Linked DNA regions of Arabidopsis thaliana. The main gene of each other region encodes a partner of the protein of the gene in region 2 in a complex. Each region holds a gene or a part of one and is shown on either strand. Other genes may lie near its edges.

Region 1 (4,855 bases), on a different chromosome or scaffold from region 2:
TCAAAATCAAATCGAGAACTGTTGTTGTGTCCGAAAATCAACATCAACATCGTTTCTTTCTTCTGCCATTAAATTTCACCATCTTCCACCTTCAACTGCCCTAGACAGCTATTCTCCACCTTTCTCTTTTCTCTCTCTGTTCTCTATCATTCCCAGAGATAACCAAACAATCTCAGAAGAAACCAGAAAGAGCAAAGAAACTAAAAACTATTATTCATTAAAGTCAGTGTTTTTAAATTCGATTTCGTAATGGGTTCTTCTGCTTCAAAGACCGCTTCTTCCGTTTCTTCTGCTTCTTCCTCATCTGCGTTTTCTCCACCGCCGACCAAATTCAGCTCCGATTCATCTTCACCGGCGGTGCAGAGAGCTTTTTCGTTTCCGACGCCGTTGGTTCACCATCCTCCGGCGAGAAAAGGCGACTCTCATCACCTTGTTTCCCTTACATCTACATCGTACGGTTCTCTTCTCCTCCTTGATCTCGATGGATCCAAAAACTCCTCTTCCGACCAACAAACGCTGCCTCGTATCTCAATCTCCGGGAAGAACACACCAGATCCGGTCTCTCCTGATTCAGTCATAAACACTTGGGAGCTTATGGATGGCTTGGACGATGAATTCGAATTCGAAATTCCCAAACCGGGTAAGCGTCTAAATTCGGATTTTTGCTCTAAACCCGACCCGAATCGGAATGTGAGTTTAAATGGGTCTTCGTTGAAATTGGATGAATCTTACGAGATTGTGAGAATCGAAGAAGACGATGGAGATTGGGTTCCTTTGACTTATAAACCTAAGCAACCTTTGTGGAAGCATTTGTCTGAAGAATCATTTCTCTCTGATTTAGATCCCAGCATTGTCTCATCCTACAAGAAAGCTTTGTCTTCTAAGCTATTAAGCAATCATAGTAATACTAGAAACCCTCATAGACCCACAAAGTCTCTCTCTTGTAGCCCATCATCAAATCCATCCATCTTAATAAGCGAAGAACCAAAATCTGTATCCTCTAGTCAATTGATTTCATCACCAGCCAAACCGAGATTACCAGGAACAGAAGACAAGATTGTACTCTACTTCACAACCCTCAGAGGAATTCGAAAGACATACGAGGATTGTTGTTGCGTTAGAGCGATATTGAGAGGAGTTCAAGTGTCCGTAGACGAACGTGACATCTCTATGGATTCCAAATACAGGAAAGAGCTTCAAAGCGTGCTTGGCGCCGCAGAGAAACCGGTTTGTTTGCCTCAGGTGTTTATCAGAGGAACTCACATTGGTGGCGTGGAGGAGATTATGCAGCTAAATGATGGTGGTGAATTAGCAGAGATGTTGAAAGATTTCCCTGCTTGTGAACGCTTGGGGACATGCCGGAGCTGTGGTGATGCAAGGTTTGTGCCTTGTACTAACTGTGATGGTAGCACCAAAGTGTTTGAAGAACAAGATGAACGGTTTAAGCGGTGTCCTAAATGCAATGAGAATGGATTGGTGCGTTGTCGTGTGTGTTGTCTCTAAGTGATCAGTTTGATCAAAAGATGTGTGTGAGAAAGGGGATATAGATTGATTGACTAAACATGGTATTTGGTTAGTAATGTATATTCAAATAAGTAAGTTGGCTCAAGCCTTTTATTATTTACTCTTATGAGTTGTGTTCTTTTGTTCCATTTACGCTCTTGACCTTTTGAACTAAATGATTCTTACTATATGAAGTACATCAAATGGTAGATGATGATTGATAATTCGCATAATAGCCGAATGATTTGCTTTGTTTGCAAGGTATTTTTTATCAATGAAAAATATGTGCAACATTACCACAAATGTAGTTTGATTGATTGATGTCACCTGCTCGCTCACCTATATTAGCTTTCTTCCTTCTGTTCTTAAATCCTAAAACGACAACGTTTAGTCTCCCTTTAAATCCCATCACTGGACTCGACGACTTTTGCTCAGATAAGGGAGACAAAAATGGAAGTGAAAGGGAAAGAGACAGCTTCGGTTCTGTGTCTGAGCAAATACGTGGATCTATCGAGTGAAGAGAGTCATAGATACTATCTTGCGCGGCGAAATGGCTTGCAGATGCTCCGAGACAGAGGCTACGAAGTCTCCGACGAAGATATCAATCTCTCCCTTCACGATTTTCGAACTGTTTACGGTGAACGTCCCGATGTTGATCGTCTTCGCATCTCCGCTCTGCATCGCTCCGATTCTACCAAAAAGGTATATCGAAGTATTTTCGTATTCGTTGTGATTTTTCGATTTCTAGCTGTTTTTTTGTCTTTGCATGTTGTGGGGTTTACTGTTTGGCAGTGAAGAAGATGATGGAATATGAAATTTGTGACTCTTTTAAATTTCTTATCTTCTAATTGAAGTTTGAATTGCTACTTTTGTGGATTCAGATGACTAAAGTTTACTACTTTATTGTCCTTATCAAGTAGCATACCTCATTTGTTTGTCCTCTGAATTTTTGTAATGTGAAATGTTTCTGGTAACAACTAGCAAAGTGATTCTTAGATCTCTTCCTATGGCTATTGAACATTCGGACAATTCATTGAGTGATCTCTTCAATCTTTAGAGTATGGTCAATGTCAAATGTGCGAGTTCTGATGATAGCTACAAGTTTCCATGTTTAATTCTAGAATGAGATTGAACTGCAAAAGAACGGTTAAGTTGGATATTTGTTGAAAATCTTACCCCTTTTCTTGTTGGTTGTTTGGTTCATGTTACCTCTTTTTGTATGCTTATAGACATGCTTGTCACCTGCTTTCAACTAGTCGATTTCATATATTGATTGCTACAAGATTTTTGTTACTTATAAATGTCTTCTATTTTCAACTCATGATGTTTCTTGCATCAGCTCTAGTCTTATGGCATAACGACAGATATCTCATAGTGATTCTCTGGATATAGTAACATTGTGTTATTGGTTTAAAGGGTCTGCTTCAAGAAGTGTTGTGATTTTGCTTGTTCAGGTAAAAATTGTCTTTTTTGGTACTAGTATGGTTAAAGTCAACGCAATCCGCAGTGTAGTAGCGGATATACTTAGCCAAGAAACCATAACTGGGCTGATATTGGTTCTGCAAAACCATGTAACCAATCAAGCCTTGAAAGCCATTGAACTTTTTTCTTTCAAGGTCGAGATATTCCAGGTTGGTACACCTATATATTTTCCTAATCTAATTTTTCTTGGTTAGTACTTCAAATCTGTAACATCTAGTTTCCTTTTTGCTGTCTTGTTAAGATAACGGATCTGCTAGTCAACATAACCAAACATTCACTGAAGCCACAACATCAGGTGTTGAATGATGAAGAGAAGACAACACTTCTCAAGAAGTTCAGCATTGAGGAAAAACAGGTCCATTATCCATTTCTTGCAGCTAAATAAAAGTAATAGTCTCACTTTTTGAACCGTTCATCCCAAAATTTATTTAACAGCTTCCTCGGATTTCAAAGAAAGATGCTATCGTCCGGTACTACGGATTAGAGAAAGGGCAAGTTGTGAAGGTGAATTACAGAGGCGAACTCACGGAATCGCATGTTGCCTTCCGATGTGTGTGGTGAAGAAACCAATTAAAAACCATCTTGTGTACTTATTTTCAGGAAAAAATAACTTGTATGTTTCTAAGGTTTTGTTTTTAATCCTAGAAGATCCGTTGCTTTGAACACAAGAAAAAAAGTTAAGGAAAAAAAAAAGATCCTTTGCTTGTTCTTGAAAACATTACCATTTATGTTTTCCGTACAAAGAGCAGTCACTACACGCTATCAATACACAAAAACAGGCCATGGAGACTCCAACATTTCTTCAGAGGTTCGAGGACAATCAAAGCTCATTGATGGATCGGTTTGAGCGGTTATCTTTCGAGGCTCACCTCAACAATGCCTTGCTTGGTCGAAGTTTATCTGAGTCAGGCTTCTCTTTGATGTACAGTGCAGTCGTCGATGATTCCCCGATACATACAGCAGCTCCGGCTAGCCAAGCCCGACGACGACTAGGACTGAATAAGATACTAAAAAATCTGATGAAACCAATTAGATATTGTAGCAAAAAAATGGGCAGGGGAAGAAAAGAAGAGGCGTGTGATATTGATCCAAAGAGTTTGAAGAAGTGGCAAACTTTCAGCAAATCTCTCCGATTATTTTGATGCTTTTATAAGTCTTGTATTTTCTATGGACATGAATATATATGTATTTTAACGTTAAACTGTTATTCAATTAAACAAAATACATCACCTAAATTAAAATCGACAACAAAAAAGTACTATGATCTAAAATATGAAATTTGTTGCTTCAGATATTTTTAATAACTTAAAAAATAGAAATTACTTTTACAAACCATCAATAGTAATAACTGCTTGATTGAGTTAAAACTCCACGTTAAACATCTAATCGTGAAAGATTAAATCAGTTTTTTTCCTTTTCTTATCTAGTTGTTATGAATCTTGTAAATTTATTGGAAAAAATCAGTAATACACCATCACATGTCACAGAAGTTTTTTATTCCAAAGGGTTGTTAATAACAAAACAGAAGATATGGTGATCAATGTGGGTAAGTCTTAACAATACAGGGGTCTTGTTGATAAATTCAAGGGATAAATATCGTCTGTTTCCCTGAGCTTGGGCAACAAGTCCAACTTCTCTCCTTAAGAAACTCTCCTTAAGAATTAAGAAAGAGACCAGAAACGAAAACCTCATCAATCAAAGCTCAAAATCGCCTTCAATGGATGCTAAGATCGGACAATTCTTTGACTCCGTCGGTACTTTCTTCAGCGGCAGCGATAAGATCCCATGGTGCGACGGAGATGTCATCGCTGTAAGTTTTCTCTATATCCTTCATTTGTTTCGCTTTTTTCCGCCTATGTTTCCGAAGAAG
Region 2 (5,181 bases):
ATTATGCACAAAGTTCTGTTCGAGGTAATAAAAGCTTTTTTACTCATATCCATACCAATCTCAACATAAGAAATGAAACATTCTTTTACTGCGGTCAAAATAATTGATTAGGTGTGGAGAATCTTCATTGTGGATGGCTAATTGATGAGGAGGAGACGGATCCTGAGGAGGAAACGGATCCAGAGGAGAAGGAGACCGAGCCAGAGGATCCAAAGGAGAAGGAGACGGAGCCAGAGGAGGATAGTGATGGTGATGATGATGAGATCATTCAGCTTACTCCAGAACCTCTTTGTGAAGAACTTCAAGAGCTTCTCAGGGAAGTACGTGGACAGAAGAGGAGGAAGAAAGAGATGAGGTGGGACAAGTAAAGGAGCTATGGAGCTCCTGTAAGTAGCAAATTGATATATATGTTAGGAAGCCAAATAGTAGTAGTAAGCTATAGTATTGTGGTGAAAAAAGGTAAAACGACCCATCTTAACATCTCTTGAGATATTGGTTTTTAATAATTTGTGATGGAGTAGAGAAAGCAGATAGTCTTTATCAGTAGTTGTATGAGTCATACAATAGTACCCGAACCCACTTATCCAAAGATCAATGTCGAAAGTGGAAACCAAATCCCTCTAAAGTAAATTGAATAGCCAGTCTAAAAGTTAGACCAAATCTGAAAGTCGGTTTAATTGCAATTATACCTTCTAAATGCAAGAACCAATATCAACCGGTACTTCATATTCTTTTGATTTTTGATTTGTACATATAAACTTTTTTTTGTACATATAAACTTAAATGCAAGTATAGCTTGACTTGTATTTTACACATCAGCGGAAAAGTTTGAGAGAGGAAGCATATTGTATTTCGTTTGGTTACAACTTTTGCTAACTTTTACAATAAATGGAATGAAATTTTTTTCCACTTAATTCCTCCTGAATAGAAAGAAATTGATGCAATTTTGTTCCCTTTTTAAATCCATGAGCCAATAAGTGCATCTCCAATTATATTCCAAATTTCACTCTAAATACTAATTTAGAAAAAATCCTTTTAATACCACTATATTCTCAACTCTAAAAGGGAGTGATGAATATGGTATGATATCATCTGTCACTTCATTTTGGAGTTACCCTTTACTTTTTATTTACAAAATATTTTCCTAAATTTATACTCATGTTCTTCATTTATGTGTAAACAAAATTATATAAATGAAGAAAAAGAGTTATTGTTAACCTTCTCCATGTTTTCATTATAAATTGATATGAGCATTGGTTACCGTTCTTTCGGATAAAAACGAAGTTTATCTCTTGAAAACATTGTTCCTTTCATATTCATATCGCATCAATATATAATTGAAAAGTTCATTTATGGTGATCGATCAAATATATAACAAAATAAAATGAAAAAATACTTTAACATTTTATATATAATTTTTGAAGACAAAAGAGCTGTTTTTTTGTCTTTAATTGATTGGTCAACTGTTTACATATTCATTTTTTTGGTATGAACTATTTACAAATTCATGAATACAAAAAATATCTCAAATTTTTTTTTACAAGTCGATCCACTTAGTTCTTACCGTTTTTTTGGTATAACCATTATTTTATAAAACATCGTTCCCGCTAGATTTTTATCGCATCAAACATAGCGTACTACAAACGGAAACGGTCATCTATGGCGATCGATCAAATATACAACACCAAAATCGAATCCAAAAAATAGTTTACTTGAAGTATTTATATGTTTTGCTTCACTGCTAATTCTATGGTTTTGAAATCCTTTATTCTTCTCAAAAAAAAAAAAAGTTTGTCAATGGTTGTTGACATGGTCTTGCATAATATGTGGATAAATATTTGTTTTAATCATTTTCATCATCATTGCATATTCCCAAGTGTTATCAATTGTTTGACAAATAAAGAAAAATTAAAATTGATACCTTTTTATTTTAGTTAATTAATAACGAAACTGAAAATATTTCTCCCTTTGCATGCAATGTGGGTTTTAAAGACGGAAGCTGAAGAGTGAAGAAGAACAAAAGATTTTTGAGAGAGAAAAGTAGAGTCACTCCAAAATTGTTCTCTCGCAATCTTCTTTCTCGGTTTCCTCTTTTAAGAAAAAGTCCGCCATTTTCACTCTCACTCAGATTTCTTCCCTCTTCTCACCTGCAAAAACCCTTGTTTCCCGCTGTTTCGTTTCTTCTCCGGTTGAGGAACCAAAACGGGTCAAATACGCAGCTGAATCATCGAATTCTTAGGTATTTTCGTCTTACCCAACTCTTATCTTTAGATGTTTTTCCGGGAAAAGAGCTCGATCATGACTCCGCCGTGTTTTTTTTTGGGGGGGGGGGGGTTTCTCCGAAATGGGTTTCAAATGTAGGTTACTCTAGGTTTGAAAGTTCGGATTTTTTGGTTCACTGTGTGTTACTACAGCTTCGATTTTGTGTAAACGAGTATAAAAATTGTATCTTTTACAGATTTGAGAACTTGTTCTTCAAAGACTTGATTTTTCTTTGTATCAAGTTAGTGAGCTCAAATGTCTTTGTTTCTCTGTTTGTTTACATCTGATAAGAGCTAACTCGGTCTCGCTGGTGTGTGATTTTCGCTCGTTAGGGTTTTTTCATGGAGGAAGAATCTACATCAGAGATTCTTGACGGAGAGATTGTTGGAATCACATTTGCTCTTGCTAGTCACCATGAAATAGTAAGTTATAAGAGTTATACTCTCTGGAATTGATCCATCTTGTTCTGCATCAATGTTTATCATGGGTTTTACATAACTGAAGGATTTCGAATAGCTAAAACCTCTATGTTTTGGTTATCTTTGGCACTAAATTCACTATAATTGTACTCAAGCTCTGTGTGATGCTAAGTGCTACACTTTTGCATATAAATGTTGTTCTGCGATATATCCTCTGTCACTATTCCATTTCTCACTGGACTGTAATTCTTTCTTGCAGTGTATTCAATCGATTAGTGAATCCGCAATTAATCATCCCAGTCAACTCACTAACGCATTCTTGGGGTTACCTCTTGAATTTGGTAAATGTGAATCTTGCGGTGCGACAGAACCAGATAAATGTGAAGGTAATCCAGTTCCGTAGTTGCTATATTTTTGTTCTTACATCATTTGTTGGAATACTTCTTCAGATATCGGTATTTGTTTCTACATTTTCAGGTCATTTTGGTTATATTCAGCTTCCAGTGCCAATATACCATCCTGCTCATGTTAATGAGTTGAAACAAATGCTGAGCCTTCTGTGCTTGAAATGTCTGAAGATAAAGAAGGCAAAGGTATTACCTCATTGAGTTTTCTTAAATTCCATGTGATCCACACATAAATAAACCATATAAAATCTCGACTAATCTTTTTCACCTTTCTGAGTACAGGGCACAAGTGGTGGTCTGGCGGATCGCTTGTTGGGTGTCTGTTGTGAGGTGAGTAATGGCATATACATTCTGATTGTTTCCTTTTAAGTTTTACCTGAAAGCAAGTTGATAGATGTTTCTTATGTGAACCTGGTTCAGCATTTAGTTAGTTTTTCTAAGTTTTCCTTCAACTAGTTGCATGTTAGAAAACTTGCTAATTCAAATCTAAATAGTATTTGTGCTTCTTTTGATCCATTCAGTGAAAGTAACATTAATCAATGCTTGTGAAGCAGTAGCTATTGGTATTTTCGTGGCATCATGAAACATTCACTGCTTTATGTTATTTTGGATGTTATTATTGCTGAACGTCTTGGATTTTTAACTACTATATTACTTTATTAGGAAGCTTCGCAAATCTCAATCAAAGATAGAGCATCAGATGGTGCCTCATATCTAGAACTGAAGCTCCCATCTAGGTCAAGACTGCAGCCTGGTTGCTGGAATTTCCTGGAAAGATATGGTTATCGCTATGGAAGCGATTACACGCGTCCCCTGCTGGCAAGAGAGGTTTTTACTTTCTTCTGTGTGTTTATGTTTCTGTTTATGTAGGATTTTATGGTGACGTTCTTTTTGTTCATTTGGAATCATTCTCTATCTTTAAGATCTTTTCTTTCTGGAAACTGATGATTATGTACTTTCCGTGTCCTTTTCCATATGGTGGGAAAACAAATAGGTTAAGGAAATTCTAAGACGGATCCCCGAAGAATCAAGAAAGAAACTCACGGCAAAGGGACATATTCCTCAAGAAGGATACATACTAGAGTATCTTCCTGTCCCGCCTAACTGTTTGTCAGTGCCAGAGGCTTCTGATGGTTTCAGCACCATGTCAGTGGTAAGTTGAAACTAAATTACTATGTTGAGTTGAATGCTTTGGCTTGTGTTGTAACCCCTGGATTTGTGTCATTCTTATTTTCAGGATCCTTCCAGAATTGAGCTAAAGGACGTTCTGAAGAAAGTCATAGCCATAAAAAGCTCTAGGTCTGGCGAGACAAACTTTGAGTCGCATAAGGCTGAAGCCAGTGAGATGTTTAGAGTGGTGGATACCTATCTCCAGGTGAGGGGTACTGCAAAAGCGGCAAGAAACATTGATATGAGATACGGGGTGTCTAAGATCTCGGATAGTTCATCTTCAAAAGCTTGGACAGAAAAAATGAGAACACTTTTCATCCGTAAGGGTTCAGGTTTCTCTTCCCGTAGCGTCATCACTGGAGATGCTTACCGACATGTGAATGAGGTAGGGATCCCAATAGAAATTGCGCAGAGAATCACATTTGAGGAAAGGGTTAGTGTCCACAATAGAGGTTATCTACAAAAGTTGGTAGACGACAAGTTGTGTTTGAGTTATACTCAAGGTTCTACGACCTATTCTTTAAGGGATGGATCCAAGGGGCACACTGAGCTTAAACCCGGGCAGGTTGTTCATCGCAGGGTCATGGATGGGGATGTTGTGTTTATCAACAGACCCCCGACAACACATAAACATTCTCTTCAAGCGCTTCGGGTGTATGTTCATGAAGACAACACCGTGAAGATTAACCCTCTGATGTGTAGCCCCCTCAGTGCTGATTTTGATGGTGATTGTGTCCATTTGTTCTACCCTCAGTCTCTTAGTGCTAAGGCAGAGGTTATGGAGCTCTTCTCTGTGGAGAAGCAACTGCTTAGCTCACATACTGGACAGCTGATTTTGCAGATGGGTAGTGATTCTTTACTGTCTTTGAGGGTAATGCTGGAGCGGGTATTTCTGGACAAGGCAACTGCTCAACAGTTAGCTA

Evidence for each region.
Region 1: NRPD1B (region 2) and NRPE5 share a complex: the UniProt entries of both Arabidopsis thaliana proteins name them as parts of the RNA polymerase V complex.

What each region holds. Positions count from the first base shown.
Region 1 is NC_003074.8:21,123,925-21,128,779, forward strand, and holds NRPE5 (Eukaryotic rpb5 RNA polymerase subunit family protein), read left to right. Parts: upstream 1-1,912; 5' UTR 1,913-1,953; coding exon 1,954-2,205; intron 2,206-2,957; coding exon 2,958-3,134; intron 3,135-3,226; coding exon 3,227-3,340; intron 3,341-3,420; coding exon 3,421-3,546; 3' UTR 3,547-4,151; downstream 4,152-4,855. Other genes in the region: AT3G57070 (Glutaredoxin family protein), read left to right, coding at 250-1,503; AT3G57072 (uncharacterized protein), read right to left, coding at 1,775-1,912; BIGYIN (Tetratricopeptide repeat (TPR)-like superfamily protein), read left to right, coding at 4,703-4,795. UniProt on the Arabidopsis thaliana protein: DNA-dependent RNA polymerase catalyzes the transcription of DNA into RNA using the four ribonucleoside triphosphates as substrates.
Region 2 is NC_003071.7:16,712,486-16,717,666, forward strand, and holds the start of NRPD1B (nuclear RNA polymerase D1B), read left to right. Parts: upstream 1-1,974; 5' UTR 1,975-2,239; intron 2,240-2,594; 5' UTR 2,595-2,603; coding exon 2,604-2,684; intron 2,685-2,940; coding exon 2,941-3,067; intron 3,068-3,158; coding exon 3,159-3,274; intron 3,275-3,370; coding exon 3,371-3,418; intron 3,419-3,751; coding exon 3,752-3,916; intron 3,917-4,082; coding exon 4,083-4,241; intron 4,242-4,325; coding exon 4,326-5,181. Other genes in the region: AT2G40020 (Nucleolar histone methyltransferase-related protein), read left to right, coding at 1-24, 112-368. UniProt on the Arabidopsis thaliana protein: DNA-dependent RNA polymerase catalyzes the transcription of DNA into RNA using the four ribonucleoside triphosphates as substrates.